7 linked regions of the Coturnix japonica genome follow. The protein of the gene in region 1 interacts with the protein of each later gene in a pairwise test. Links are inferred from orthologs where the notes say so. Each region holds a gene or a part of one and is shown in the gene's direction. Other genes may lie near its edges.

Region 1 (3,500 bases):
GATTTTAAAATATGTTACTATAATAACAGATACGCAGTCACAGACTGCTAAAGAGCTGCAGCTGTTCTGGAAGCTGAATTTGAAATGCTTGTATTAATAAAATGCAGAGAGCTAGACATCAGGAATAACAAGCTATGTGCAAAATTTGAGTGCTTTTCCCTTGTTTTTTGATGCATATTTGGTCCTGTGATTGTATGTCTGAAAATTGTTCTGTATCAGTGAGACTAAATAAGTTCTGTGCTGTAAGTGATCTGAGAATAAGGAATTGCAGAGCACTGCAATGAATAGGGAAGCCACTGATTCAGTGTGGATGGGTTTGTGTCCTGTTGTATCAGTGAGCTCACATAAAAGCAAGTGCAAACTCTTTAGAAAGTGAGTGAATGTGCACAGTTATCTGGTAACACCTTATCGTGTCTGTCTGCAATACAGACAACATCTTTCTTTTGTTAAAGTGGAAACTGATGCATTGTCTGAAATTTCTGGAGTAATTATTTTTGAATGCTACAATATATTACCCTTATGAAACTGCAGAAATGCTTTACTGATTTAAGCTTTTATTTTTTCTTACCCCCTCCAGATGGTCTAGAGCACTTAATGCCTTCAGGTAATCTTTGTAAAAAGAAACTGGCAAAAAGACCTGGATACATGAGGCCAGAGGCTCAGCAACAGCTCCAGTTTCAGTCTCTGGGTGCCTGCAAGCCCTTCCTACCAGAGGAGTTCAAACATGACAAGAGGCACTGTGAGGAGCTGGAGGACTTCTCTCTCTGCAGACAGCACAAAAATAATGTTGAGTTCTTACGCTGTAGTTCAACTGCAAGTAGTGCTGTAGTTCTTGCTGATGGGTTAACAACGTTGGGCACTACTGTAAATATGTCAGGAAGTTGCAAAAATCTTTCATATTCCAAGAAGGCATGGTCAGAAAACATAGCATTGATTTACCCTGCTGAAACAACAAGCAAAGGTGTTTCTACTGCGAGTGGTACGTGCCAGATGAACCATGGAACTGAAGTGAATGAGCCCCAAAAGATACATGCCTTGGATCAGGCAGAGGTGAATAATAACTGTGAATATCAAAACAGAGAAGCTATTTCTTGTTCTGTTGGTCCACGTGATAGTTTTTGTTCAAGTTTCAGCTTCATACAGCTCTCTCTGAACTCAGCCTCTGGAGTAAGCGATGCTGAAATCAAGGCAGATCGAGTTCTGCCCATCCTTCTGCATCCCAGCAGCACCAGAGATCTTCAGGAGCCAGGAGAGACAACAAGATCTCAGGAGCACTCAGGGGCTTTGTGTTGCTTCTCTAAGCCCAGTGAGGCTTTGAAGTCTGAAAATGAGACCACAGCAAATTATAAACTTCAGGATTGTGAGACTGTCTCTCTCTCTGATACGGATGCAACACTGTCATATTCTACAGATTCCTCAGATGCGGCATCTGCTGGTTCCTCTGTTACCTCAGGCTATGAAAGTAGTTTTAGTGTCAGTGACCAAAACTGGGATGCTTTTATAAAAAGGTATGAACCAGCACTACTGGACTGCCAGCTTGGCAACTGGAGTACGTTAAAGGTTTGTAATCTCACTTCATCTTTGATTCCTCCATTTGGCCCCCAAAACATGTATATTTATAGTGTCAGTGTCTTAATTTGATGTGAGTGCAGGGATACTAATGGGTTTCACAGTACTTTTTCATAGAAGCTTTCAGTATCTGTGTAATTTAAAAATGAAGGAACCAGCATGTATTTTCTTTTTAGAAGAAGCAAAACAAGAGAAACCCAACAAAGTGATGATATTGTAGTAATTGGCTCCTATGGCTTCCTGAGACTATGACCCTCATTTCTATTTCTAATGTCATATGTTAACTTGGAATTCAGCAAGGGCTGCTTTTGCAAGAGGCTTTTTTTTTTTTTTTGTCTGCAGGTTGGAGTACGCGTAGAGCAAAACTTGAAGGTGGTAACACCTTTTTCCTTGAAGCATTGTGATTTTTAATGAAACTGAACTTTGTAATTGAAAATGTGTAAACTTAGCCAAAGATTTCTAGGGGAAAGGTTCGTGTTAGCGTAGCCTTCAAACTAATACACAATTACACTCTGCATGTGATGATAGATGGGGTTCCATTCTCTGCTCTAATTCAGGCTGGGAATTAAACATCTTTTTTTCTTCCACCTAACAAGTGTTATGGGCTGTTGATTCAGAAGCCATATTTTTTTTTAATGTGTCTGCATACCCAATATGTACTTGCTGTATATACAAGTAGCCTCATTCGCTGTATTCTTTGTGGGATGGCAGTGGGGAAACCTTAAAAAGGATCTGTTATTCTTTTTATTGTATGGTAGAATTTATTTTTCCTAATCTTTGATATTTTTGGGATGGCAGGGGAGAGGAAGCAATTATGAGCCTAGATGCAATGAGGAGCCAGACTTTGGCTCCGTTGTGTGCTCAGGAAGTGGTAATCTGTAGATTAGTATGGACACACTGGATCTCATAAATTTTAATAGTCTTAAAATTCCACTGTGTGTGAGTGGTGTTCTTGTTGAGACTCTCACTAGTGCCCTGAGCACTGTGGAGCAATGCCTGTGATGTTTGTGCCTCTCACATAGAAAGATGCACTTGATAGAGTTCTGCCCATGCTATCTGTGCTAACCCTAGAATGGAAAGCCAACTCTTGTGACAGCACAGGTGCATCTATTGAGATGCACTATTGTCTTCAGGCCTAAGGGATTAGGGTGGCTCTTCACAGCCCTTTTATCTGGGTAAGGCAGTAGGTTGAGGAACATAATTCTTTTTTGTCTGTGTCATCTGACCAAGCTTTACAACAGTCTGTGATCCCTATTTTTTGTGGATGCATGTAGGAGCCAAACTAAGTTTTCTTGCACGCTAATACAGACTTTACATGCATTTCCGTGCAGCAACTGTTTTGGCTTCAGGCCTGGAATGGCAATGTTCTCATAGCGTGCAATAGCTTGGGAAATTAATTCTCTACGAATCTGGGAATATATAACATAATAAAAGTACAAAATGATTTTCTGTCTTTTCAGTCTACTTATTTGATAGGCACAAAGAAACACTGCTATCTTTAATTTCTGTATTCATTAATTCATTGAATGGAGAATTGGGGAATTGTGCCTTCAGATGTCTTTGCCCTTAGTCCTGGGTGTTTAATTTGAAACACCTTCCTATTGCAATGATAATGAGCAACTCGCAAACTTTTCATAAGGGAACAAAGGCAACTGTAGTCAGAAAAAGGAGACAGTACCAAAGTTGTTAAAACTATGCTTCTTCTGTGCTTATTCTAATTAAGAGGGTACTCATCACCTGGTACAAGTTTAGGAGGTTCTGATCTGAAGCAGCTCTTTTGGTAGTTGGGCTCTAGATATCTTTCTAGCCTGCAAACAGAAGCACTTGATTGTCGCAGCATCAGTCACTTAGCCATGGGCATGGTTGTACTGCAGTACCCAAGCAGATTTTTAAATGACCTGCCATTGGGTGCCCATGATGGAATAAACAGT
Region 2 (4,179 bases), on another chromosome or scaffold:
CCCAGACATCTGGGCTGCAGCCTCATCCTTCCAGGGATGAGGGACACCATTATCCCATGTTTCTGCCCCACAGAACCCACTGTCCCACATCATGGGGTGGGAAGTGAGGTTGGGATCTTGGACAGAAGGTCCTTTAGGGCTGCATAGAGGTGGGATGGGGGCAGTTGTACCTGGTGCCCTAAGTCCTAAATGTCCCCTTGGACCTATCCTTAATCTTAGCCCTTCATTGGCACCCAGGGGTGCTCATCCCCTCTGGCCTTGTTCCTGCTGGCACCCACTGCAATGCTACACCAGGAGGGGACACACACAATTCCCCTACGCCACTCAGCCATGCATCATGCATGAGGCTTTATTAATACCCCTCCCAAAGTGCATCTATTATTGACGAGAGCCTGAAAGCTCTGCAAGAGCTCTGGGCTCCATAAAGCCTCCAAGCTCTGCTCCGAGTCCAGAGCTGCCAAGGGAGGAGGGAGGAAGGGATGGAGGATGCAGCTGACTGGGGACAGGATGGGGCAGGTTGTACCCCAACCTTTCAGGGTTTCTTGGGGATGGGGATGGCTGCTTGTCCCTCAGAATTGTCTCCCCACACCATCTCCCCAAAGCTGTGTTCACAAGGAAAAGAACACCATGATGGGTGGCTTTGGCACCAAGGGCTAAATTGGGGTGCTTGGGACTGGAGGAGGAATAAGGCAAGGACTGCTGTGGGGTGCTTGGGGATAGATCAGGACCAAGCCGAGGTCCAAAATGGGGTTGGGACTAGATGATCTCTGAGATCTTCCAATGCAAAGCATTGTTTGATACTGGACCATGACCCAGGCCAGGACTCTACTAAGGACCATTCTATGACCAAGGTGGGTGTCTCAGTCTCTGGATCAGGACAAAGCTGGGCACTTGGGGACCAGACCAGCACCAAGTTGGGGAGCTCAGTGTTTGGCAACCAAGCCAGGATGCTCGGGGACCAAGTCAGGCTGTTTGGGGACCAGATTATGACCAAGCTGAGAAGCAGCCTGGATCACTCAGGTTCTGGATGGGGACCAAACCTGAGGACTATCTGGGAGTTTAGGTACCAAACACGGGGGCTTAGGAACCAGAGCAGGTCCAAGTCGAAGACCAAGCTGGGATGCTCAGGGGATGTTTCAGATGAAGCCATGTTCCTTGCACCCATGGATGGGGGATGCAGTGATGCAGATGCAAACGGCCACACACGCCCATGGGATGCTGCGGGAGGGGGGGTGCTGAGGGGCGATCCCAGGCGGGTGCTGCAGAGGGCAGGGAATGGATCTGGGGGGCAGAAGAGCGGAAGAGCGGGCAGAGGGGTTGTGGGTTGGGGAATGCGGGTGCCGCATGGCAGCGAAACCCGGCTGAGAGCCCGCAGTGTTCGTGGGGAGACAGGCAGAGGGAGCTGTGCGGGAGGAAAGCAGCAGCGAGCGGCTCTCCGAGCTGCAAAGGAGGAGGAGGCGGCGGCTGCGGGCGCTCCATCCCTCCATCCTCCCGACCCTCCTTCCTCCATCCCTCATCCCTCCATCCATCCCTCCGTCCTCCTCCCGCTCCCCGTGCGGAGCTCCCCCCCCTTGAGTCCCCGCTCTCTCCTCCCAGCGGGGCCTTCAGCCTCTGCCCTCCTCCTCCTCCTCTTCCTCCCGCCCCTCTCGCCCCCCTACAGATTCTCCCCCCCCCGCTCCCTCTCTTTCCCCGGCCCCATGGAGGTGCTGCTCGCGGGGAGCCGGAGGCCTGTGGCCCCACATCTCTCCTCCCCGACAAAGCCCTGAATCGCTCCGCAGCCGCAGCCTTTGTGCACCGGGGCGGGTGGGCGCTCCCCGAGCCTCCCCCACCACCACCACCCCCTCACTTATCCTCGAGGATAAGGGAAAAGGGAAAGAGATGCTGCCCTCGCCGGAGGAGCCCGGAGAAACAGGTATGGGGCAGAGGATGCTGCGCTGGGAGGGGGTGTTTTGTCCCCAAAGCGGGGGGGGAACGCGATGGGGACAAAGCTGGGAGGAGAGGGGGGACCCGCTGGTGGGATTCGGCCATCCTTGCTCCCACCCTGCCATCACTGCAGCCCTAAGGATCCTAAGGATGGGGACCGGCATCCTCCACCCTCCTTCCACCAAGCAGGTGGAGATGGATGGTCTCTATATTTGATTTCGTTTCGAGGTGGGGAAACGGGGAAAGAAGCCAAAAAAAATAAAAAAAAAAAAATAAGGCTAAACAATGCGAAGAAAGGCTCCATGATGGATCGCAGGTAGCAGCACCCGAGCAGCCCACAGCTGTGGGGTTTTCTGCCATCAATGCTCAGCTTAGGGGGGAGGAGAGGGGGGGAGGGAAGGAGAAGAGGGGGGGGGCTGCGGTCCCATTCAGTCTTTTATCGATCATTATTTTGGGGTGGGAAGAAGGAAGGTTTGTACGGACCCACGGCCATGCCCAGGGCTGGGACCATGCGGCGTTCAGAGCTGGATGGTGGTTCAGGGCTGGAGAACGCAAAGCAAAGCGAGGCGGGTTGGGTACCCCGGGAGACGCGGGCAGCAATCCAGGCCTGGAATATCAGCACTGCACGATGCTGTGGCCCCGGCCCTAAGGCAGAAAAGCGCTTTATCATCCCACAAAAGGCTCCCGATGGAAACCAAGTTCCTGTTGGCTTTGTGCTGGGTGGGCTCCGGCTCGTCCAGGCGGGGTTAACATGCAGAGATGCATTTTGTAACGACCCTAAAATACAAACCAGGCCAGCAGACGGCTGCAGGAGCAGCCAGGCAGCTCCATTCATCCTCCCAGCACATCTCTGGTTTATTATTATTATTATCTTTATTATTATTATTGCATGGATTTCTTTCCCTTCCTGATTTTACCCTATAAGAACAAAAAATGGTTTGGAAGGGTTGTGCTGAGCCATAGATGGCTCTGAGCCACCCTGGGGATGAGCATGGGTGATAGCTCAGTGCTGGATTCCCCCCCTCAAAGCTCCATGGTTTTGGGGTATTGAGGGGTTTTAGGGTGATGGGAATTACCCTTTATGGGATATGGAAGGTGATGTTCCCACCCTGGGTCCCCTCATTGCTCTGGGGTGGGGAACCACTTACAGTATCTCTTTGGGGTAGAAATAAACTGTTTTATTTCAAGCCTGAACTCCACTGCCAGGCCAGTGGTTTCATGCATGGTGATGTCCTGAAATCATTAAACCAAATTCCTTGAGAGAGGAGGAGGTGATAGCCTGGTGCTCCCAGCTCTGTGCTGTGTTGGTGGCTCGGTTTCAGCTGGCTTCTCCCATTTCCCATGGGCTTGGTTTCCCCTTATACCATGGAGGATTTGGGAGCATGGGATAACCCCATGGAGATCATCTCTACAGCACTGCAGCATGGGGGTCCCACAGTTCTGGAGGGGGTTTTGAGAGCCAAAACCTCATGGGGAGCAGGGATCCTTCATATGGGAATGTCCCATCTCCGTATCACATCTCTGGGGAGAGTCTGGGTGTTTATGTCCAGGCAGCAAAGAGGCCAAACCTGATGAGTCTGAGTTATTCTGGGGGGGAAATGGGATGGAGGAGCATCAGCTGTGCCTGTGGCTAAGAAGGAATGGGAGAAGGACAGCCCAGCACCCATGGGGTGATGCCATCACAGCTATGAAATGGTGACATCCCCAAGGCAGTGATGAGACTTAATGGTTGTGGTGAGGGGCTGAAGAAATAACTGTGGGAGACAAATCCTGATGTGAAGCTGCACGGGCTGATGTAAAAGGACTGGGTCACCCTGTGCTGGGAGATGAGACCCATCTGGACACAGGGATGCTCCTTGGACTGGAGATCCCTGGTACCACAGAGGCTTCCTGCAGCATGAAGGACATGAAACACCTCTCAGCAGCAAGCTAAGGGCTGATGGACAGAGATTTCCCATGGGTTGTCCACCTTCCCCATGACTGTGAACCCTCCCGATGGCTGTGAGCTTTCACAAGGGTTGTGCACCTTCCAAAGAGCTTTGGATTTTTCCAAGGGTTGTGCATGTGGATCTTCCCAAGGGTTGTGGGTCTTCCCAAAGGTTGGGGACCTTCCCAGGGTCTGGGAACTTTCCCAAGGGTTGGGGACCTTCCCAAAGGTTGGGGATCTTGCCAAAGGTTATGGCTCTTCCCAAGGGTTGTGGATCTCCCTGGGGTTGTGTATGAGTGGGAGAAACACAGAAGGGATGCAAACAGGGA
Region 3 (4,275 bases), on another chromosome or scaffold:
AGTTAATGGCTCTGTCACATGGCAATTGGTCTCAGGCAGTTTTGGTTGCTATTTGCCAGACTGCCCTCTCTCTCTCCTTCTCATATGCAATCTGATAGAATATAGCATTGTAAGAACATAAAAGATAGCTCAATTAGGACAATTTAGTTAGGAGCTCGATGATCTCTGGAGGTCCCTTCCAACTCCTACAATTCTGTGATGCTGTGATTTTGAACAGTTTTCATAAAACACCTTTGTAACAGAAGTTGCATCATTTAACTGAGATTCAGCAACTGCTTAGAAAAGCCAGTTTCATCTCTTCAATCATTTCAGATTATATATCATTCACATTACTGCTCGATAAATGAATTATTAAAATATTTTACATTATCTACACTGGAAAGCTCATTAGAAGCTTCCCAGAGACCCAGAACATCCAGGAAATAAGCATTTGGGCTTAACAGGAAAGCTCATTTCACTTTCTCTTATTTAACTTACCAGTCATTTACTATTCAAGTGAAACGAGCAGTGCTGCCAAGAGTCCTCTGCTGGCTCTTTCAGCCTAAAGATCCATCAGCATCCATAGGGCTGCATCTCAGCACCCTGAGCCCTCACTGTGCTCACCCACAGGCCTGACACTGGTCCTGCTGGGTCGGGACACTGGTTGAACCATGATGCTGAACATCCAGTGGTTTTCCCTGCCTGATGAGGGCATCTCTGGACCAGATGAAGTAAAGCTGGGGCATTAACTTGGACTTAGGAGCCTGGAGCTCTCTAGGTCTGCTGGGTGAAGCTGGTGAGGGGTTTGGAGCACAGGCCTTACGAGGAGCGGCTGAGGGAGCTAGGATTGTTCAGCCTGGAGAAGAGGAGGCTCAGGGGAGACCTTATAGCTCTCTATAACTTCCTGAAGGGGGGTTGTAGTGAGCTGGGGGTTGGCCTCTTCTCTCGTGTAATCAGTGATAGAACTAGAGGGAATGGTTTTAAGCTGTGTCAGGGGAGATTCAGGCTGGACATTAGGAAGTATTAGTTTCCGGAAAGAGTAGTCAGGCATTGGAATGCACTGCCCAGGGAGGTGGTGGAGTCACCGACCATGGGAGTGTTCAAGAAACGCTTGGATGTGGTGCTGAGGAATATGATTTAGCCAGGAAGTATTGGTAATGGTTGGACTAGATGATCTTCTAGGTCTTTTCCAACCTCGATAATTCTGTGATTCTGTGGGTGAAATAAGGGCCCTGGCACTGGGAACTCGAGGGTTTAGGTCTTCTTGCTGTCTTGGTCTGCACCACAGGGCAGAAAATGCAGTAATACCACAATATTTTTATACATCTTCCACCTGCCAAACGGGCTGGGTGCTTCCTGCTGCAGTGGACTTGTCACCGGCTTCATCAGATGCCTACAAAATGCTTCCTGACCCCCATGTAGCCGTTCTTTCAGGTTCCATAACCCCGCAGGAAGCAGCTCCTCTGTGATGGAGCCGCCCCCCCGTTCCGTCGTGCCGTGACCCGGCGCTGCTCCGTCACGTCATCGGCGGCGGCCGGCGGTGGTGCACGTGGGCTCTGACGTGGTGGTGGGGCCGGCGGCAGGTGAGGGCCATGGGGAGGCGATGGGTGGGTGATGGGGGGTGGTCAGGCCCGGCCCGAGCGGGGCGGTGGGCGGCAGGAGGGGCCTGGGCGGGACGGAGCACGGGGCGGCCCCCTCAGCCGCTTCGCCGGCTTCTGTCTGTCAGCCACGGCCTGTGGAGGCCGGCTCCGGTCCCGTGTCTCTGCCTGTTCCCTGGGGGCTGACTGATGTGTGGTGTATAGATCGTGTACCACACGGGCACCTTGAGGGTTCTGCTGCTTCCATCTCCCTGCAGCGCTGCTGTGTTGTTGCTGCTGTTCGGCCTTAGCGTTCCCTTCTGTAAAACGCTGAACGCTGTCAGAGCGGCTGCAGAAACAAATCGGTGTAAAAATACACAGGATTTAATCACAAGGCCCAGCAGGCCCGGCCGCCTCGGCACTGAATTACAGCCCGAAGGCGTTTTGAGCCTTGTGCTGGCATATAAGAACGTTTTATGGGGGGTGAAGGTTGTGCTGCGTTTCACTTCTGCCCTTTGCTTTCTCAGGGACATTTCTAAGGCCGGGCAAGTTGCTGAATGGTGCTTGGTGTGAGGGGAAGCAAGAGGAGTCCAGACGTGGGGAGCAGCGTGGGCAGGTAATGGGGTGGTGTGGTACCTCTGGAAGGGTAGGGAGGGGAATGAGACCGTACCCTGCACCGTTAATTGAACTCTGTTTGGTTTTAACCACTGAAATGATTAAATAATAATAAGCTGTGTTAGCTTCACGCAGGTTACAGTTACGGCTATGGAAGGAAAGACCACCTGCAGAAATTTATAGGAAGACCAGAGTGAATGATAACCAAAGATCTCAGAGAAAATAGCTTAGGAAAATCTTGGCTTGTCAGCAAGGGGCTTTATTAAAAGGCAAAGCCTTGTCATTCCTTGCCTGTTCAAATGAGACTTTCTGGCTCCTGGGGTCAAAGCACAGGTCTAGAAAGAAAGTTGTGTCCTCATTGCTCCTTTACCTCTGTGTTTTTCTGAACAGAGATCAGCTGTGGTGTTGTAGAATGTTACAGGAACTTCTTACAGAGGATGCAGAAATGATCACAGTACAGTAAAGCTTGCAAACTGCAGAAAAAGAATACAAATTTTGTCTTGGAAATAAATCTGAGGTATAATCTAATCCCATTGAAAGCACTGTGGTCAAGTTATCAATTTGATGGTAGAGAGAATGGTGACTTATTATCTTTATTTGTTTCTTGTGTTCTGGATTTTAAAACACTACCTGGGGGCAGCTGGGTTGTTACTCATCTGGTGTGCTAAGAACCTGTTGTGCTGAGGTGTAAACGGGAGACTCAGGTTGAGATCTTTACACCTGAAAGCAGCAGATTTTGATTCAGCTCTTGGCTTGGTCACAGTGTTGCTGTGTGGCCTTTGTCAAATCACGTTGCCTTTCTTGGAGGCAGCCTTCCTGTTTAGATGACAAAACATCACAGGGCAGAGACTGTACCTTATTGTGTTTTGGCACAGGACCGTGATGTTTCTTAGGGCTTTTGGTGGCTACTGAGGTGTAAATAGAGTAAGAGCATGGATAAGTAAAAAGTATTTGCATGCTATTTGCTTCTGTCATCTATAATCTGTTTGTGGACATGTCTGTGAAGTGAGTTGTTAAACAAACTAGTCAGAATGAAGTACTGCTTAGCACTGACATTCAGGGAACACTGAGCTTATCCACCTTGCCCTAGAATTTGGTAGCACTGAAGTTACAAGATCCCAGTCTGTCCTTAAAAATTAGAAATAAATGGGTAGAGGATTGGGAAGGGGATTTTTGTTTTCTTAGGCACTGATAGAGAGACATGAGTAAAGAAAATGGAGACAATCTCTGAAGATGTTCAAGTTACTTAATCGTCATAGACTTTCAGACCAAGCCTCCTGCACAGCTTGCACATTCTCTGCAGTGAGCAGGTGCCTGCCACTGCAGCCTCTGTGCATGCCAGCACAGCAGCATGGCTTCCTGCATCTCTGCATGGTGCTCACAGCAGGCTCCAGCTACTTGTGGTTTTTGGGTAGCAAACAGAGAGGTTGACATTCCTTCCCTCACCAAAGACTCACCTATTGCATAACCACAGCAAGAGGTTGTGATTGACCTGTATGCTTGTTTTCCCTTCCATCCACCTGTGCCCCACTCCTGCCTGCTGGGTCCCAGCTGAGTTGTGTGGAGCTTTTGCCAAAGGTCTTTAGAGGATGTTCCTTTAAGCTGCCTTAAGTCCCCTTGCAGTCACCTGTAGGAGCTCATTGGGCCATTCCTCCTATTACAGTTGTGTTCTTGCTGTGTGAGCTGGCCTGCAGCCCAGAGGTGAATGCACCCAGTGAAATTCTTCAGTCCTTGGGAACAGATTTCTTCTATCTGAGTTAATCTGATCCCCAGTCCAGTATGAAATCCTGGGCTACAGTGAAAGTGTTAAAAACTGCTTTCTTAACTGGTCCATTTCTGAGTCCCCAGAATGCATGGCCTGCTCTCCCAGCAGTGTGTATGTATGTGGCATGTAAGCCACAATATTTCTACCCCCAGAGTGAAAAGACTGAAAGTTTCTTCCTGTGTGTGGGGTTACTTCTGATATGTGGGGATCTGGAACATTTAACATCACATTCTAGGATGTTCCTTGGTTGTCACAGGGCTCCTCAAGCTGTTGGGCATATCTGAGCTGCCATGAAGGGATGGAATGCATGTTAAGCTCAGCAAACCTATCTTTCACGAG
Region 4 (4,226 bases), on another chromosome or scaffold:
ATTTGAGTATGTGGGGAATGTAGGAAGTCTTGTTTCTTGCATTCTTTGAAAGACCACTCCTCGAGGAATTTTGTTCTATTTGGAATGAAAAACGGTGGGTTTTCTACAAGACAAATATTGATGTGTTGTCTGGCAACAGTTCTCTGAAGAGTTTATAAGGCTACACTGATTCTTGATGAAACTTCATGCAATCCTGACAGAGAATTGTGACTGCAGGAAGCAAAAGAATCACAGAAGATCGACCAAATGACACAAGGTTTGGTGAGATGCAACAGCAAAACAACCCCAGACTTACACCTCACAAGTATTACCAACACCACATTAAGCTGGAAAGGAAACTTTGAAGTTTATAGATAAAAGCAGATACTGCTCTCTTGGGACATGAAATATTAGCTCAACACACACAAGAGGAAATGGAGCTGTGCCTCCTGTAAATGACTGAATGCACAAGATGATGGTTCCAAGAGGAACATTTTCAGAACTATCTGCTGACAGACTGAGTTGTTTCAATGTTCTGATACAATGTCGTGTTGAGACGTGCTCTCTTTACTACTTAAGCGCACCACACACATCTACCAGCGTGTGATGTACAGAAATCACAACAGGATTTCAATAGTTCGCTTAACTACGGACCAACGCTCAGAGAGGGCGGCAGCACCAGAAGCACAACCGACTGTGTTATGCCTACGGACCGTGCAGCCACACGTGTCCGAGTGGCCCCGAGTCCAGCGCTGCCTGACACACTTCACCTCCGGGGCAACGAGAGCCGCATCGTAAGAGAATGCGCACAGAAAACGAGCAACTGCCTTCACGCGCGTTAAGCTCCCGCTGTCGGGCTCTAAGGACGCCAAGAAGCCAAGCAACAAACGCTGCACCTTTCGCAGCCCGAGCCGGAGCTGCGCCCGAGCAGAGCGGAGCCGCTTTATCGCCTGCGGAACGGCCCCGGAACGGCCCCGGCCGCTCGTGTTGCGGTGCTGCCCGCCGCCCCCCGACCCACGCCGCCGCGCACGGAGGGAAGGGCCGCGTTACCTGGAGCGCCGGGCCGCGTCACCCCGCCGGCACCCGCTGCCGCTACCCCCGGCTACGGACCTAGAGAGGGGAGGAGAGCCGCCGTGAGCCGCCGCCCGGGGCTGGCACCGCGCCGCCCCGGCCCTGCCGTCGGCCGCGCCCCCCGGGCGGCCCCGCGCCCCACCGCGCTCTCGGCCGGGCCCGGCCGCCCTCCGGAGTCGGCCCGCGGCGGAGGCGGCGGCGGCGGGGGGGGCGGGAGCCGCTCCCCGCTCCGGGCCCCGCTCCGGGGCCGCGCCCCGCGCCCCGCGCGCCCGCCGGGACCTACGGCTGCCGCCAGCGCCCGCGACGGCGACTCGGAACCGCATTGTTCGGCCGCCGGAAGCGCATCCCGCGCCCTCCGCCCCGCACCCGGAAGCGCCTCACGGGGCGCCCGCCCCCTCCGCCCGGTCACGTGGTGGGCGGCAGCGGCGGCCCAGGCCCGGCACCGGGAGGCGGCGGCGGCGGCGGCCGGGGTAGGTGGGGTCGCGCTGCCGGCCGGGCTCCCGCGCCCCCTCCCTCGGGCCGCTCCACCGCCGCCGGCCCTCGCCCCCTCCCCGGTACCGGGCCGCGCGCGGTGCCGCCCCGCGGTTCCTCGCCTCCCGCCGGTGGGAGAGCAGCGGAGGCCTCCTGCGGCCCGCCCTCTCCTCCGCTTCTGCCGCTGCGGTGTTTCCATCCCCCGCGTGCGCTGTCCCGGAGCGGAGCCCACCCGCCGGGCGCTGCCCACAGCCGGGCCCGGGCCGGGGGAGGCCGCGTCTCTCCCCGCTCCCCGCGCTGTTCCGGGGCCGCTCCGTGCGTCCGTCGTCCCCGATCCGCGGCGTTTGGCGGGTCCCGATCCGCGGCGCTCCGTGCTCTCCGTGCTCTCCGGAGCCCCTTTCTGCCCCGTGTGCCGCAGCGGCGGCGTTTCGTTCGGGTTTTCCCTTCCTATTGGCAAGTACGTGCCGGAGCCCGGCGGGGCAGCGCCGAGGGCCGCGTCGGGTTGGGGCGAATCGAAGTGTAAATAAACGGACCGGCTGCAGTCGGGTTAAAAATCCGTTTTGACAGTGATGGAGCGGGAGTGGAACGGGTGGAAATACCGTGTGTGGGTTTCCTCTGCGCGGTTCTGCTCGGGAGGAGAGAGCGACGGGAGAGAAGTTTGGGAGAGAAAGGAGGAATTGCATTTATTGCTAAGACACAAACTGGGCACCGAGTAATGCACGGCTGTGATGCTGCGTGCAGCTGGGGCTGTGATCCCCAACAACTGCTGCTGGGTTTGTTAAGTGTTGGTGCGATTGGTGATGTTCTTGTCTACTTTGTTTTAAAATAACGCCTGGCAGCAGCGGGCACATCACAAACACTGTGCTTTTACTTCTGAAGGCTGCTACTGAGTGTAGAAAGGTCAAGGACCTGAGCAGACTTCGTTCTGTGTACACAGAAAGCACGTTAACAAATGGAGCCTGGCATTGGGCTTTCCTTCCCTTTCCAGCACCGAGGGCGGGCAGCTTTTAGCTGCATGTGTTGCATGCGACTTGTGTTTTTTCTTCACTTCTCACAGCATGTTCTTAAAGTGCCGTGTGTGACTGGTGAGTGAAGCGCTGTGTTCACATCGGTTGTGATGAGTGGGTTGCAGAGGGTCATGGAGCGTTGCCTTTTGGCTGGGTGCCCCTGCCCTGTGCTCTGCCTGCCTGTCCCAGCAGGGTGTGCATAGGGCACTCCTGGGCAGCTCCCCACACACCGCTCTGGGCTGGGCTGCCCGAGGCAGCAGCTGTGTTTCTTCTCTGTGCCGCCTTTCCCAGGGCCTGCACTTTGTTTCTGGAACTGGAGGATCTGCTCGGTACAGGAGCCTAGAGTTCTCTCATCTGAGTTCAAATTAAGGGTAAAAGCAAAATTATGACTCAGCTAAGGAGTGTTAACAAACATTGCATTAGCTGAACCCCTGTGTGTTGTTTGATTCCTGGTTTTGCATGAAATGGGCAATGATTCCCCTGCAGTCTGAGCTTCTCTGTGCCCACGGGGCAGTGGGGCTGGATGTGAGGCAGTGCTACCTCCTGGTCGTGTCCTTCTCTTGAGCTTTGTGGGAACCTCTGTGGCTGTCCGAGGCCTTTAAAATGCTCAGAAGGTGTAGCATTGTAGTTGCTACTTGTATATCATTTGCTCCCTTTAGTCATCCAGAGTCTTTATTTTCACATGCAGTATTTCAATGGTTTTATTGCTTCGTTCTGAGTGCAAACTGCTTCTCATTGCCTTTGAGAATGTTCTGCACGGGGAAGGCGAGGCTGTAGCAGTTTCCTTGAAGGAGTGGTGGGTGAAGATCAAACATAGGGTTATGCAGGCAGAGCATGTGATACGTGAGAAGAAGAAGGCTGCTGCTGATTGATCTTCCTTGCATGTTGTTTTTCCCACAGCTGCAGTAGAACACTGCTGCAGGTATGTGCTCAGGAGAATTCAAACCACAGCTCCTTTCCCACATGTCTGTCAGCGTGGCACCAGTTTTGTTCTTACAATTTCTTGCTCTGCTCAGACAGAAAATCTGGGCAGCTGCCTGTCACACAGTGCTGTGCTTTAGCACTTGCCAGGCTTTTTTTTTTTCAGGACTCTCTGTGTATAAAGCAATACATGTGCATTATTTGAAAGCGAGGGGGAAAAATACCAGAGGTGTCAAAGCCTGTAAAGAGCCAGCGATTCTAAAGAATGATGCCTATTTGTTACAGACCAGCTTTGGGCAGTCCTTCATAAAGCTTCTGAACTCCGCTATAAATTCCACCTTTTACCCTGACTGAGTTGCAGATAATGGAATCCAGGGAAGGAGAACAACTGCTCACGTTGGGCTGTGGTTGTTGTTGAGTTCTGTTACAGCAGAGAAATAGAACCAGAAATGATGTTACTTTCAGTGATGAATTCATATGGAGTCAGTCTGCTCAGTGTCCTGCTGCTTCCTGCATTTAGTGATTTTTAGCATTGTATGTAGTGGGTGTTTATTATTTTTAGGGGTAGTGGTTATAGGTTTCTCCTGCATGCCAAGCTTTTTAACTTTGTTTAAGTTAATTTTGTTTTCAGTAATTTAAGACACGTTGCTGTATCGTTCCTCTGTATCTGGTGCATCCCTCAGCCACGCTGTGCTTTGTGCAATTGCTGTAGGAACTGCTTCAGAAGTGTAAAAGCTGAAAGGGTTCTGAATGAGAAAAGATCACCTTTTCTCTCTA
Region 5 (3,500 bases), on another chromosome or scaffold:
AAAAGAGAGACAGGCCTAGCAGGATGCTTCTATTTAGATACTGGGAAGGCTTGCTGCAAGCTGCTGATGTTTTCTCTTTTTAAAGCAATCATCTGCTCTATTAGGTTGTCTCAACTCACCTTGAGTCACACAAATTAACTGTGAAAAATTCCTCCAAAAATTTTCTCACAATAAATGGGAGATTTAATTGGGTTCAAGCTGACAAAAGGTAATTCTTCAAGAAAATTGGTTTTTTTTTCCTCCTTAGCAATTTCTTTGCCATGTGGCATTCAAACAGTTATATCTCAACATTTGGCATATGCTCCTCTCATTTACTCAAAGGAGATGTACTGTGATGGATAGAGCTTCTGAAGATGACCCTCTCTTGGGAAGTATGCTTATGTCATTAGGAGAGCGGGCTCCTTTTTTGAGAGAATCAAACATTTCCCTTTTGTACCTGTTTGTGGCAAGTTTTTCACTCCGCAAGCTCAAAAAGAAACATGTACCAGAAGAGCTAGCGTGATAGGCTAAGTTCCTCTTGCAACTTTGGGATGCTAGCGCTGTGTTCTGTGTTGGCTCCTAGAAGAGATAAACGATAAATAGCAATGATAAAATTGGCTTTCAGTACTGCAGACTATCAAACAAATTGGAAGGAAGTCTCCTCTAGCTGAGATCTTTGAAAGGAAGAATGCATTTCAAAATGGGTACAACTGCTTTTGAATTGCTTTTATTTTCACTTTAAGATTGTGGCATGGATAATTTCTGCAGCTGCTAATTTCATCAACAAACAAACAGACTGACTGAAAAATGTGGTACTCTATTCCCAGAATTTTCCTCTATGTGGAAATAAAAATAGGTCGCAAACATGAAATACAGTTTCTGACCTTAGAAACAGCAGAGCTATTACTATTCAGAAGGAGTACTCCAAGTGCAGTTGGAGCTTTGTTCTTTTCTCCTTGGAAGTAGGAGCACGTATTGTTCATCAAACAGAAGTGGATTAGCTTCATCCATAATTACTGGACTAGGATGAATAAAATTCAGTAGGTCTGTGTGTTTCATTTCACCTACTGTCCAGGCTGGCAGATGGGTTTTAAATTTGTGTATTTTCTCTGGAAACAATCCTTTCTGTTTGAAAGAAGTATTTGTTCCCACAAGCCATTTACGTTCAGCAGAAAAATGGCCATAAATGTATCTACTATCTCTGATGTAGTTTTTCTTCATGATGGCTGAGATCAATAATCCATCAGTTTCAGTTCTGTCTGATGAAATTAGGCAGACTCTGCAACAGAGTGCCTCTTTAACACCAAGGTGCTTAATGGAAGGCCTGCTCTTTGGTAATGCAGGCTAAAGGCAGATGGGGGCAGCAAGTAGGCAACGGTTGTATTGATGATGTACTCATTGCCCTCTGCTGTCTTCCTCCGTGCTACAGCACAGGCTATGCAGTGCCTACGTGGAGCTGCCTTTATCTAAAGAGGCTAATATTTTTTGGATCATAAAATAATGATGAGCTTTCACCCTGTTTTTTCTTCTTGAGTCATCAGTCACCTGTACATAAAAAATAATATATGAGGACAATTTTGAGATGTTTTTAATGTGGCTTCTGTTTTCATCCTTACAATATTTACCTGCAGTCCCTTGCAGGTTGTAATTGAAACCGTGTTTTGAAAGCCTGTCTGTAAAACCAAGGGATCATCGTAAGTCTAATACTTTGGTATTTCTGAGCAGCAGCCACTGCTTGAAATCCTTGGTATGAGATAATAGGAGTTTGAACCACTGCTTGGAACATTTTGTGAGATGGTGTTGCTATCCTCAGAGTATCTAAAAGGCTTTGCTCTTCCGTCACTGAGTTTCATGGTGGCTGTTTTGACTCTTCCAAATGCTGCCTGGAGGGATGCTGATAGAGAAGGCAGTGCTTTTTTAAGGGTACTTCAGAAGGGACAGCTTTGATTTCTCTGAATTAGCAATTCAGCCACTCACAGTGGAAGTGTGGAACACGACATTTTGTCTGCGTGTATAAACATTGGGCTGAAATACCACAGCAGTGAGAGAGAAAAAGCAGTCAGCCTAATAGGCTCTGGATCCTACTGCAGAAGCCATGAGAGCAAGAAGCATCCTGTATCATCTGCTTCCCAATTCACAGCTCAGAAAAGGAAAAAGGCAGAGAAAATAAAAGTAAAAAGAAGTTGGAGTACTGTGCTAAAATTATAAAGAGATTCATTCAGAGCTATTATCATAAGTAATGAACATCTGAGCAGATCAAACATTACGTTTTTCTTGATTGCTTGCTTCAAGATGTGGTCTATTCAAACTTCAAAAAGGGTCCTTCAGGACCTCTTCTTCTTTTCAACATCCTTATTTCTCTGTGGATATTCAGTGAGGAACTTACTAGGTCAGAATCAGTGGACTGTTAGTTACAATGATGCAGTTACGCCTATTAAATTTCAGAGAACATACGTCTTGATCAATCCAGTATCATTACTCTTGCTGACTACCCTTAGTGCTTGGGCACTCATTCTTCAGTGAGCAATGTGTAAAATTGTGACCTAACAATGCTGCAAATGGTAGCACAGTTTTATGATTTAGGGGTATACATTCAATATTATGTCTTTTGGAACCCCTCATGATGTATATGCAGAGTGTGGGAGTGGATGTAGTGAATGTGTCTGGCAAATGTTTGGTGTTGAGCAGAAAAACACAGGTAGGACAAGATGCCAGGTGTTTTACTTTGCCTCTGTTGCAGGTGGAAAGAGAAAAGGCCATTCTCCTGGCCAACCTGCAGGAATCTCAGACGCAGCTGGAGCACACCAAAGGAGCCCTGACTGAACAACATGAGCGAGTCCACAGGCTTACAGAGCACGTCAACGCCATGAGGGGTCTGCAGAGCAACAAGGAGCTGAAAGCAGAGCATGACTGTGAGAAGGGGCGAGACCCCAGTGAGGAAGCACATGACTACGAAGTGGATATCAATGGTTTGGAGATCCTAGAATGTAAATACAAAGTAGCTGTTACGGAAGTGATAGACCTTAAAGCAGAAATCAAAGCCTTAAAGGAGAAATATAATAATTCTGTGGAAAACTACACTGAAGAGAAGGCCAAGTATGAGAGCAGAATCCAGACTTATGATGAACAGGTGACAAGCCTAGAGAAGTCAACCAAGGAAAGCCAGGAAAAGATGGTGCACATGGAAAAGGAATTGCAAAGGATGACAAGCATAGCGAATGAAAACCACAATACCCTCAACACCGCCCAAGACGAGCTGGTAACGTTTAGTGAGGAGCTGGCTCAGCTCTACCATCACGTCTGCCTGTGCAACAATGAGACTCCTAACAGGGTCATGTTGGACTATTACAGGCAGAGCAGAGTTACCCGCAGTGGCAGCCTGAAAGGCCCGGATGACCCACGGGGTCTTCTTTCCCCGCGGCTTGCCAGAAGGGGAATGGCATCACCTGTAGAAGCCAGGACTCCGACTGAGCAGGTGACAAAAGAGGCCGCAGAGCCTGGCAAGGATCAAAGCCCAACGA
Region 6 (3,500 bases), on another chromosome or scaffold:
CCTGTCACCATTACTGCCCACTGAGATGCTAAACCCTACCTCATAGCACCTCATTCAGATTCCAGCATTCAGTGTCAGCAGCCTCTTCCTTTCCTTTGCATATTTCCCCTCCTGAATCTCCCACAAGAACGGACCCATTGCACCACGTGCTTTTGTGTTTGCTGCTGCATTTTGGGATGGTAGTCATCTTTGAGATCCAAGCAGCATCTGGAGACATTGCTTGGGATTGGGATCTGTAAAGGATTGTGGAGTAGTGTTAGAATTGCCATTTATGCCCCATTTACTCAGTGTGTAACCTTACATAGCATGCATTTGTCATGGGGTTCACTTTGACACTTGAAGATGACCTTCCAGTTGACCTGCCAAGAAGATTTGAGTGCTGATTTTTACAAGGATGTGTAGTTCTCCAGCACTGAATTCTTCCTACTTACTTATGTGTCTGTGTCCCTTGACTTACACCTTTTCATTCTTCTTTTGTGTTTGCAGGACATTGAAGCCACGATGAACTCTGCTCTGAACGAGCTGCGGGAGCTGGAGCGGCAGAGCACCGTCAAGCACACACCAGATGTCGTCCTCGACACTTTGGAGCCTTTAAAAACATCCCCAGTTGTGGCCCCCACATCCGAGCCCTCCAGCCCCCTGCACACCCAGATCCTCAAGGACACTGAGCCAGCCTTCCAGCGCAGCGCCAGCACGGCAGGCGACATCCCTTGCACCTTCAGGCCAGTGAAATCAGTCAAAATGGCCACGCAGGTCAAACCCCCCGCAACGCGGCCAAAACCTACAGTTTTCCCCAAAACCAACACCACGAGCCCCAGCGTTGCCTCCTCTGCATCTCAGCAGCCTGCTGACAAGTCCTGTACTGTCTGATAAACCCGATGCTGCTCTGCGGGTACAGCCGCGTTGTTTCAGATGAAGAGACCGTGCTAAAGACGTTAGAATTCCTATTTAACTCCATCCTGAACTTGTGCTGAAGGTTTATGGTGAGCTGCTCCCTCCTGCTGGGTGCAGGCTCAGTGCTAACAGCCTCATCCTGGTGGTGTCCGTAAGGTGAAGCCCTTCGTGCCACGTGTGGGGAAATCCAATCCTGGGTCACTGTGAAGCTGAGGAGGAAAACACAACAGCACTGAGTTGGATCTTGGTTTCTCACTGACGCCTTGCTCCAAGCATTTGGCCGCTGGAGGGCATATTTGGCAGCATCATGTTTTGAGTACTGGTGTAGTGACTTTATATATTCCGTGTTTCGTTTATCGCAGGGGAACAATAGGGTAGGTTTTAGTCTATTGCATGTTTTGGTGCCACTCGTTTTTGTGGAGCTTGGACATGCCCCTTTCTTGTGCATTGTTAACGACGCTGGTGCCACTGTGGTTAAGGGTCTGTCTGGACTTCCATACCATCCTCGGGTTATGTTTGTTTGCTGCCCCATCCCTCCCTGCAGGGCTTTTATTCATCCAGCCTCGTCCTTTTATATGACACGTCATGAAAAATAGTTTCCTCTGGAACACTCTTAGGTTTTGTGGAATGATCCGTAATATGTGTATGTGCAAATATGAACAGATACGTTCCTGGGGTATAGGAGCATAACAAAGAACCCAGTTGTTGCTTATGGACAATCTGGCTGTTTTTCTCCTTGGCTCTCCCATATTTAAAAACAGCTTCATTGTTTTCCAGTGTACTTTTAGCCCATGGGCTGCGATGTGGTGTGTGGGCTCAGGAGACTGAATGTCAAAACAAGCAAACTTCTGCAATCCACCATCCTCTCATGGGGTTCCACTTCGTAACACACACATTCTTGTTTCGATCATGTATCAGGATGGATCCTTAACAAAAATCCCACTGATAAGCACTGTAAAACTTCAATCAGAAGTTCTCAAGCTCTGTATCTTTTCCCCTTTTACCCCCTCCATCATTCCTGGCTGTAAATGCTTCAGGGTGAGCTGCCTTGGGGTCTGCTCTCATAGAGCAGCACTGCGTGGGACGGTGCCATGGCAGCATGCAGCTTCTGGAGCTCCTGGTGGATGGCAGGCCTATGTAGGACTCCGGACATTGGAATGAACTCTTAGGACATGTATTTATATGGTAGGCAGCAAATGCTTCAGCTGCCAGCAGGTTGCATTGAGCTCTGATTGTGCTCTGCTGAGAATTGTCCACGGTGCAATTAACACTTATTTAATTCTTACAAAGGAAGGCACGTGTGCCACTCACAGCAATGAGGAGGAGCTCGTGGTCCTGCGGGAGGGGAGACGGACTGACCCTCACTCTGCATCATTCCCAAGCTTTTCTGGGATTTAAAAAGTAGCTGCACATCTGATGTTCTCATCGAGTAAATGCAAGCAAGGGCAGGATAAGAGAAGTTATTTTCATATCTTCCATTTTATCTTTTGGTTTGAAATCTATGTGTTTCTCACACTTGGCTTCCTTGTGACTGCAATGTCCTGATGATCAGCAATTGCAACAAGGAAAGAAACAAAACAGAACTTAACAAAGAACAGTTCCTTAAATGTACTTTTCTCTTGGATCGAAGGATGCTACTCAGAGAAGTGAAGGGGCTTTTATTGTGTCCTCATCCATCCCCACCCCTATAGAAGTCACACAGCCGTATTACACCCTGCTCCCTTATGGGCAGGATCCCCCAGCGACCAGCCAACATTGCTCTCAGGTTCTGATGGACTTCTACCACCAAGGAATCACTTGGGCTTTTGGGGAATAAGAACTGAACTCGCAATTTAATTTGCTCAGGCAGAACTTTCTGGCATTTACTTTACGTAGGGAATATTTTGCTTTAGTTTGTGTTTGGTCGCAAACGACCGATTACTCTGTGTCAAGAGCAGGATCTCTGTGAATTTTACTTTTGAACTCATTTGTAATGCCTTATTTTCTTTCTATTTTTATGCCTAGCATTGGTGTTTCTAAGAATTAAGTGTCCAGCCACACGCAGCACATCTGGAGGAGATGCTCTTTTCTGTCTTTGAGGTCTGAACGAGTGGGAATTGAGAGATAAAGACTTCAGGTTACTCTGTCTGTATATGAATAACTGTGCTTATCTCTAGCCTCCGCAGCTCTGGGACAATCCTACTGTCAAGAGGAATATGCTTAACAGGATAAACTGTATACCAAGCAACTCAACTGGAATTTTGGTGTGCACTGTGACTGACACTTAAACCTACAGCAAGCAATATGGCAGACTGGAGGACTTCTCCTCTTCTGCGTGGCCTGGGTTTATCCAGCCAGCAGGAAACGCACACAATATAGGGGGAACTGGAGAAGGAATTGGGTAGCTCAGCTCCTTCGCTCCATGAGCATCCCAGGCTGAGCATCATTTCCATTGTGGTTTATTGCCATGGGGCACTGGGGAGGTGGGGAAGGAAAACTGGAAACATCAACACCACCCTGCAGAGGCAGCGGGCATCTTGTACAGGAGATGATGGTGTGGATGAGGAAGGCACGGTGGTTTGCCTGGGGAGGTGTCACTCTTACTTCCTATCTTCGTGTTGAGAAGA
Region 7 (4,295 bases), on another chromosome or scaffold:
GCAACAGCATCACTATAGATACAGCACTCTCCGGACTATGTGTGTATGTGTGAAATACAGGTATCTGAATGTTCCTATCTAAAGGGCAGCAAGAACCTGAGAAGAAGTATTTCAATACTTCTATTTGAGTGTCTCTTGAACAGCGGAAAACAAAGCTGTCCGATCTAGAACTTGTGCTTTATTGGATGAGGTCTCTGTGCCATCAATCGCCCTAAACTGCGGGAATCCTCTGGAAACTGTTGCTGGTTTCTAAAGCTGCAGATCGAGCGTTTCACTGCACACAGGGAAGCACACACGGCTCCGACCGCATCTCACAGAGCAGCCGAGCCCGACAGCCCGGACCGCTGCAGCAAAGGGATGATAATAAACCGGGTGAGGTTTATCCGAGCGGGTCTGAAAATGTTTCTCTTTTTGTATCTGGAGGGGAAATCGTTCATTCAAGGCTCCCCTACAACTTCACCGCCACCGTCCCATGGAACTACACTGCCCCTCGTTTCCCGCAGTACCCCCCCGTCCTTACCGGTCCCGCTGTGCCCCGCCGCGGTCCGTCCCTGTTGTGGCCGGGCACAGGGCGGGGAGAGGCGGCAGCTCCGCGGGACTCGGCCGGGCGGGGCCGCACCGCCCTCAGCCTCCGCGGCTGCGCACAGCACGGCCCGGCCCACGGAGCTGCGGGGCGGCCGGTACCGCGTAACGGGAGGGAGCGCGCCGGGCCCGTCCCGGCACCGTGTCCATGGCCCCCCCGCAGCGCCACATGCTGCTCCCGGGGCTCGTGGTTCCGCGGTTCCGACCCGGCCACACGTCGGGGCGTTGGAGCCGTCCAGGCCGCATCCCCGCGGTTCCCATGGCGACGCCCAGCCCCGGCCTCGCCCCTCCCACCTCCCCCTTTCCGCCCACCCCATTGGCTGCCGCCCTACCCCCGCGGCTGCAGGGGGCGGGCCGTGCTCCTCCTTTCCTTGCGAGCCATTGGCTGCGCGGCCTCCGCAGCGCGCGGGGATTGGCCGCGGCCCGTGGCGGCGGGGGGCGGGCGCAGGCGCGGTGCTGTTATTGTGCCGTTGTGCGGCTCTTGAGAGCGGCGCTGATCCGTGTGTGTGTGTGTGAGGGGCTGCCATGCCCGTGAGTACGGCCGGGACACGGGGGAGTGGGGCGGGATGGGGATGGGGGTGATACAGGCCGCTACAGGCCGCTCCCCTCCCTCTTGGACTCTCACTGACGGCAGCCGCGGCCCGTAGGGATGTGAGGGGCTGCGCAGGCCCGGCTGGGGCCTGAGGATGACGGCGCGATGCTCCGTGTCACCGCAGTGCGCCGTGTGCCCCAACCCTGGGAGCATCTTGGCGCTCCCTGTGCTGACGGCGCTGCGGGTCGGTGTCAGGAGCTGCGGGCGGTGTGTGCCGTGCTGGTACCCGAGGGGCGGGTTTAGAAGCAGCTGATCCACGGCATCAGCCCGTGGGGCGGCACCTCGGAGCGCCGCTGTCAGGTGGAGCATTGACAGCGTTGTCAGTTAGTTTAGTGTCAAAATCCACGTCTGTACCTGGGAGAGAAAGGTGACGTGAAGTCCTGTGAGCCGACCTTGGAGTTCTCAAAGTGGTGAACGTTCAGCGAACGCACTGGAGCCTGTTTGAATTCCCTTCAGCTCGCTGCGATCTGCTGATGTCATCGGTGAGCTCTGAGGCTGTTTCCTTGTGCTCGCTATTCAGACAGCGAGCTCTATGAATTTAAAGGAGTGGCACAAAAGCCTCAGCTTGCAGCAAGCTGTTTGCAGGCACAAAGCTGTTTGCTGAAGAATTTCACAGATGAATGAAATTTGCAGGTTTTACTTGATTGGTTTCCACATTTGCAAACAGAAGATTGCTCTGACTGATTAAGTGCAGGGTATTCCCTTAGCTGTATTCCCTTAGCTTTAATTATATAGCAGTTCTTGTCTAAGCGTGGCTTTTATGATTCTGCTGAGAAGTATGCATGGACAGCTTAAGCACATGGGCTTGTGACAGTGATGCCGCAGCTTGTGAGTGTTTTGCCTTTTCATAATTGCAGATCAACAAGCCTGAGAAGCCGGACAGGCCAGAGAGCTGTGATAATGTCAAGGTGGTTGTTCGATGTCGGCCCCTTAATGAGCGAGAGAAAGCGACGGGGTACAAAATGGCAGTTAGTGTGGATGAGATGAGAGGAACTATCACCGTCCACAAAACAGACTCGTCCAATGAACCTCCCAAGTCATTTACATTTGACACTGTTTTTGGACCAGAGAGTAAGCAACTGGATGTCTATAACCTGACTGCGAGACCTATTATTGACTCCGTCCTAGAAGGCTACAATGGTAAATTCCTGGTTTATTTCAGTGTTCCCATCTGTGTTCCTTGTGTTGTTGGTGTCCCTGATGATCAGCAGGGAGCCTTCTCTTACTAGGGCCACATCTCTCTGTTGTTTCTATTCTGGCCTCTGACCTACAGCAACCAAAAGTTACTCCTTACTAAGTACCCACCGTGTTGGTACGTGCTGAGATTGCTAACAGTGGGAGATAGTAGTGAGCAGTCTTGGCTGAGGTTGGTGAGCTGTGTGTTTTCATTCTCTGTCTTCTGTCTGCAAAAGAAAAAAAGCTTTATTTCATTATCAGAATTCTCAGCGACTCTTCGCTATGCAGTTTCAGTAACGCAGCAGCTGCCATGGTCCTGCAGTATCTAGGTATGAGTGTTCTTCTTGTGCGTCTAAGTGCTGCATTTTCATCTCTAAAACTTGCTGTTCCAAACTAAGATGACTAGTTACCCACATCAGCCCTGCCTGGCAGATAATTGGTTGCTTCCTGCAGCTGGGAAGAATATGTCTGTGGTTTGTGTTTGTTATGCATGTAAATACTACATGTAGAAGAAAGAATACACCAGTAAGGTAACAAATTACTGCTTTCTGTAACTGCTTTTCATCCGTGCTGTAAGTGCCAGATTAAGAAGGTTTTTAAAGGTTTGCAAAATACTTAATAAGCTTTTGTGCTAACACACCCATCTTCAGCTGATTAAAATTCCTCTCAATAGTAATACCAGTGACTTAGCAATGAAAGCAAAAGCTTAATTTGAGTTGAGCTTAATTTGTGCTGGGGAAAAAATTAGTTAACCTGTGTGTTTCTGGAATGTCTGAGCTGAGATTTCAGTAAACTTTCTCACTGGTTCCCTTGGGGATGGTTGTCTAGTCCAAATTGTGGCTGCATTTGCAGGCTCAGAACTGGACACTTGTACTGTGTCCTGCGTTGTAGGAGCCTCATGTTTCTGCTGTGGCTTAAAGTGCTAGCAGTCGTTGGTTTTGTGGTTGGTTTGTAATGATATTTCTCTAATTGACAATGCTATTAATTAGTCTGATTTTAATTATTTGCGTGTGAGCCCTAAGTGTACCGGTTCTCAATCCTTTAATTGCTTTATAAAGCTAAAACAAGCTGACTTTTTCTTAAATATTTTGCAGGCTGGATAAAGCAGTGGCTTGAACATTTTTTGCTATGGTTGTCCAGCATTTCTGTTTCTCATAGCATTGAATATTACATACTGTAGGGGGTGAAAAGTTTCAAGTTCATAAAAATGTGTTCAGTGCTATCAGGCTTAGGATTGATGAGGTAAAATTGCAGTTATAGCAACTTCGTGGTGTTCATTAATATGTTCTTGTTCTTCAGGCACCATTTTTGCATATGGGCAGACTGGAACAGGCAAAACTTTTACCATGGAAGGGGTCAGAGCAGTTCCTGAGCTTAGAGGCATCATTCCAAATTCCTTCGCCCATATATTTGGTCACATTGCCAAAGCAGAGGGGGATACGAGGTAAACAGCTTCCCTTTACTGCTCCTGTCTTTTGTTTGTACATCTGTAGAAGAAGTCTGACCTCAGCAATGACCTTGGCCATTCTTGATGGGGTGGCTGGAATGTATTTATATATGGGTGCTTTTTCTTTGCATTTTATGTCTCCTAGACTTATATTTACAAATACCTTATTAAGAAAGCTTCACAACTGTTTGCCTTCAGGTTTTTAGTTCGTGTGTCTTACCTGGAAATTTACAATGAAGAAGTGCGGGACCTGCTAGGAAAAGACCAGTCACAGAGGTTAGAGGTGAGCCTGCTGTTCTGACTCCAGTGCTTGTTCCACATCCTCGAGCAATATTATTGTGAAGACCAGAGAGCATCTGAAGGGAGCTGGGAGGTTGGACTCCTCAGCATGTGCATTGTTTCCTTTAAGATACAGTAGCAGTTGGATGTCACCACTGTTTTCTCTGAGTCTTTTCAATTTGTTCTGTTGTACAGTGAGAAACTGACTTTCTGCTGAGT

The links.
Region 2: the proteins of DISC1 (region 1) and FBXO41 interact in a two-hybrid assay, tested with the Homo sapiens proteins (2 studies listed by BioGRID and IntAct). The link is inferred for Coturnix japonica from reciprocal best matches to the Homo sapiens genes DISC1 and FBXO41.
Region 3: the proteins of DISC1 (region 1) and XPNPEP1 interact in a two-hybrid assay, tested with the Homo sapiens proteins (2 studies listed by BioGRID and IntAct). The link is inferred for Coturnix japonica from reciprocal best matches to the Homo sapiens genes DISC1 and XPNPEP1.
Region 4: the proteins of DISC1 (region 1) and RABGAP1 interact in a two-hybrid assay, tested with the Homo sapiens proteins (2 studies listed by BioGRID and IntAct). The link is inferred for Coturnix japonica from reciprocal best matches to the Homo sapiens genes DISC1 and RABGAP1.
Region 5: the proteins of DISC1 (region 1) and BICD1 interact in a two-hybrid assay, tested with the Homo sapiens proteins (2 studies listed by BioGRID and IntAct). The link is inferred for Coturnix japonica from reciprocal best matches to the Homo sapiens genes DISC1 and BICD1.
Region 6: the proteins of DISC1 (region 1) and SRGAP2 interact in a two-hybrid assay, tested with the Homo sapiens proteins (2 studies listed by BioGRID and IntAct). The link is inferred for Coturnix japonica from reciprocal best matches to the Homo sapiens genes DISC1 and SRGAP2.
Region 7: the proteins of DISC1 (region 1) and KIF3A interact in binary tests that used the Homo sapiens proteins (3 or more experiments, as listed by UniProt). The link is inferred for Coturnix japonica from reciprocal best matches to the Homo sapiens genes DISC1 and KIF3A.

Annotation. Positions count from the first base shown.
Region 1 is NC_029518.1:35,635,106-35,638,605, reverse strand, and holds part of DISC1 (disrupted in schizophrenia 1 protein), read left to right. Parts: intron 1-577; coding exon 578-1,560; intron 1,561-3,500. UniProt on the Homo sapiens protein: Involved in the regulation of multiple aspects of embryonic and adult neurogenesis. Required for neural progenitor proliferation in the ventrical/subventrical zone during embryonic brain development and in the adult dentate gyrus of the hippocampus.
Region 2 is NC_029519.1:81,245,492-81,249,670, forward strand, and holds the start of FBXO41 (F-box only protein 41), read left to right. Parts: upstream 1-1,379; 5' UTR 1,380-1,912; intron 1,913-4,179. UniProt on the Homo sapiens protein: Substrate-recognition component of the SCF (SKP1-CUL1-F-box protein)-type E3 ubiquitin ligase complex.
Region 3 is NC_029521.1:22,662,548-22,666,822, reverse strand, and holds the start of XPNPEP1 (xaa-Pro aminopeptidase 1), read left to right. Parts: upstream 1-1,475; 5' UTR 1,476-1,562; intron 1,563-2,083; 5' UTR 2,084-2,113; coding exon 2,114-2,172; intron 2,173-4,275. UniProt on the Homo sapiens protein: Metalloaminopeptidase that catalyzes the removal of a penultimate prolyl residue from the N-termini of peptides, such as Arg-Pro-Pro. Contributes to the degradation of bradykinin.
Region 4 is NC_029532.1:7,280,013-7,284,238, forward strand, and holds the start of RABGAP1 (rab GTPase-activating protein 1), read left to right. Parts: upstream 1-1,426; 5' UTR 1,427-1,520; intron 1,521-1,850; exon of another isoform or gene 1,851-1,978; intron 1,979-4,226. Other genes in the region: ZBTB26 (zinc finger and BTB domain-containing protein 26), read right to left, coding at 1,030-1,089, 1,334-1,395. UniProt on the Homo sapiens protein: May act as a GTPase-activating protein of RAB6A. May play a role in microtubule nucleation by centrosome. May participate in a RAB6A-mediated pathway involved in the metaphase-anaphase transition.
Region 5 is NC_029516.1:53,354,492-53,357,991, forward strand, and holds part of BICD1 (protein bicaudal D homolog 1), read left to right. Parts: intron 1-2,719; coding exon 2,720-3,500. UniProt on the Homo sapiens protein: Regulates coat complex coatomer protein I (COPI)-independent Golgi-endoplasmic reticulum transport by recruiting the dynein-dynactin motor complex.
Region 6 is NC_029541.1:2,718,039-2,721,538, forward strand, and holds part of SRGAP2 (SLIT-ROBO Rho GTPase-activating protein 2), read left to right. Parts: intron 1-486; coding exon 487-870; 3' UTR 871-3,500. UniProt on the Homo sapiens protein: Postsynaptic RAC1 GTPase activating protein (GAP) that plays a key role in neuronal morphogenesis and migration mainly during development of the cerebral cortex. Regulates excitatory and inhibitory synapse maturation and density in cortical pyramidal neurons.
Region 7 is NC_029528.1:1,213,919-1,218,213, forward strand, and holds the start of KIF3A (kinesin-like protein KIF3A), read left to right. Parts: upstream 1-1,495; 5' UTR 1,496-1,647; coding exon 1,648-1,656; intron 1,657-2,031; coding exon 2,032-2,314; intron 2,315-3,649; coding exon 3,650-3,794; intron 3,795-3,995; coding exon 3,996-4,080; intron 4,081-4,295. UniProt on the Homo sapiens protein: Microtubule-based anterograde translocator for membranous organelles. Plus end-directed microtubule sliding activity in vitro. Plays a role in primary cilia formation. Plays a role in centriole cohesion and subdistal appendage organization and function.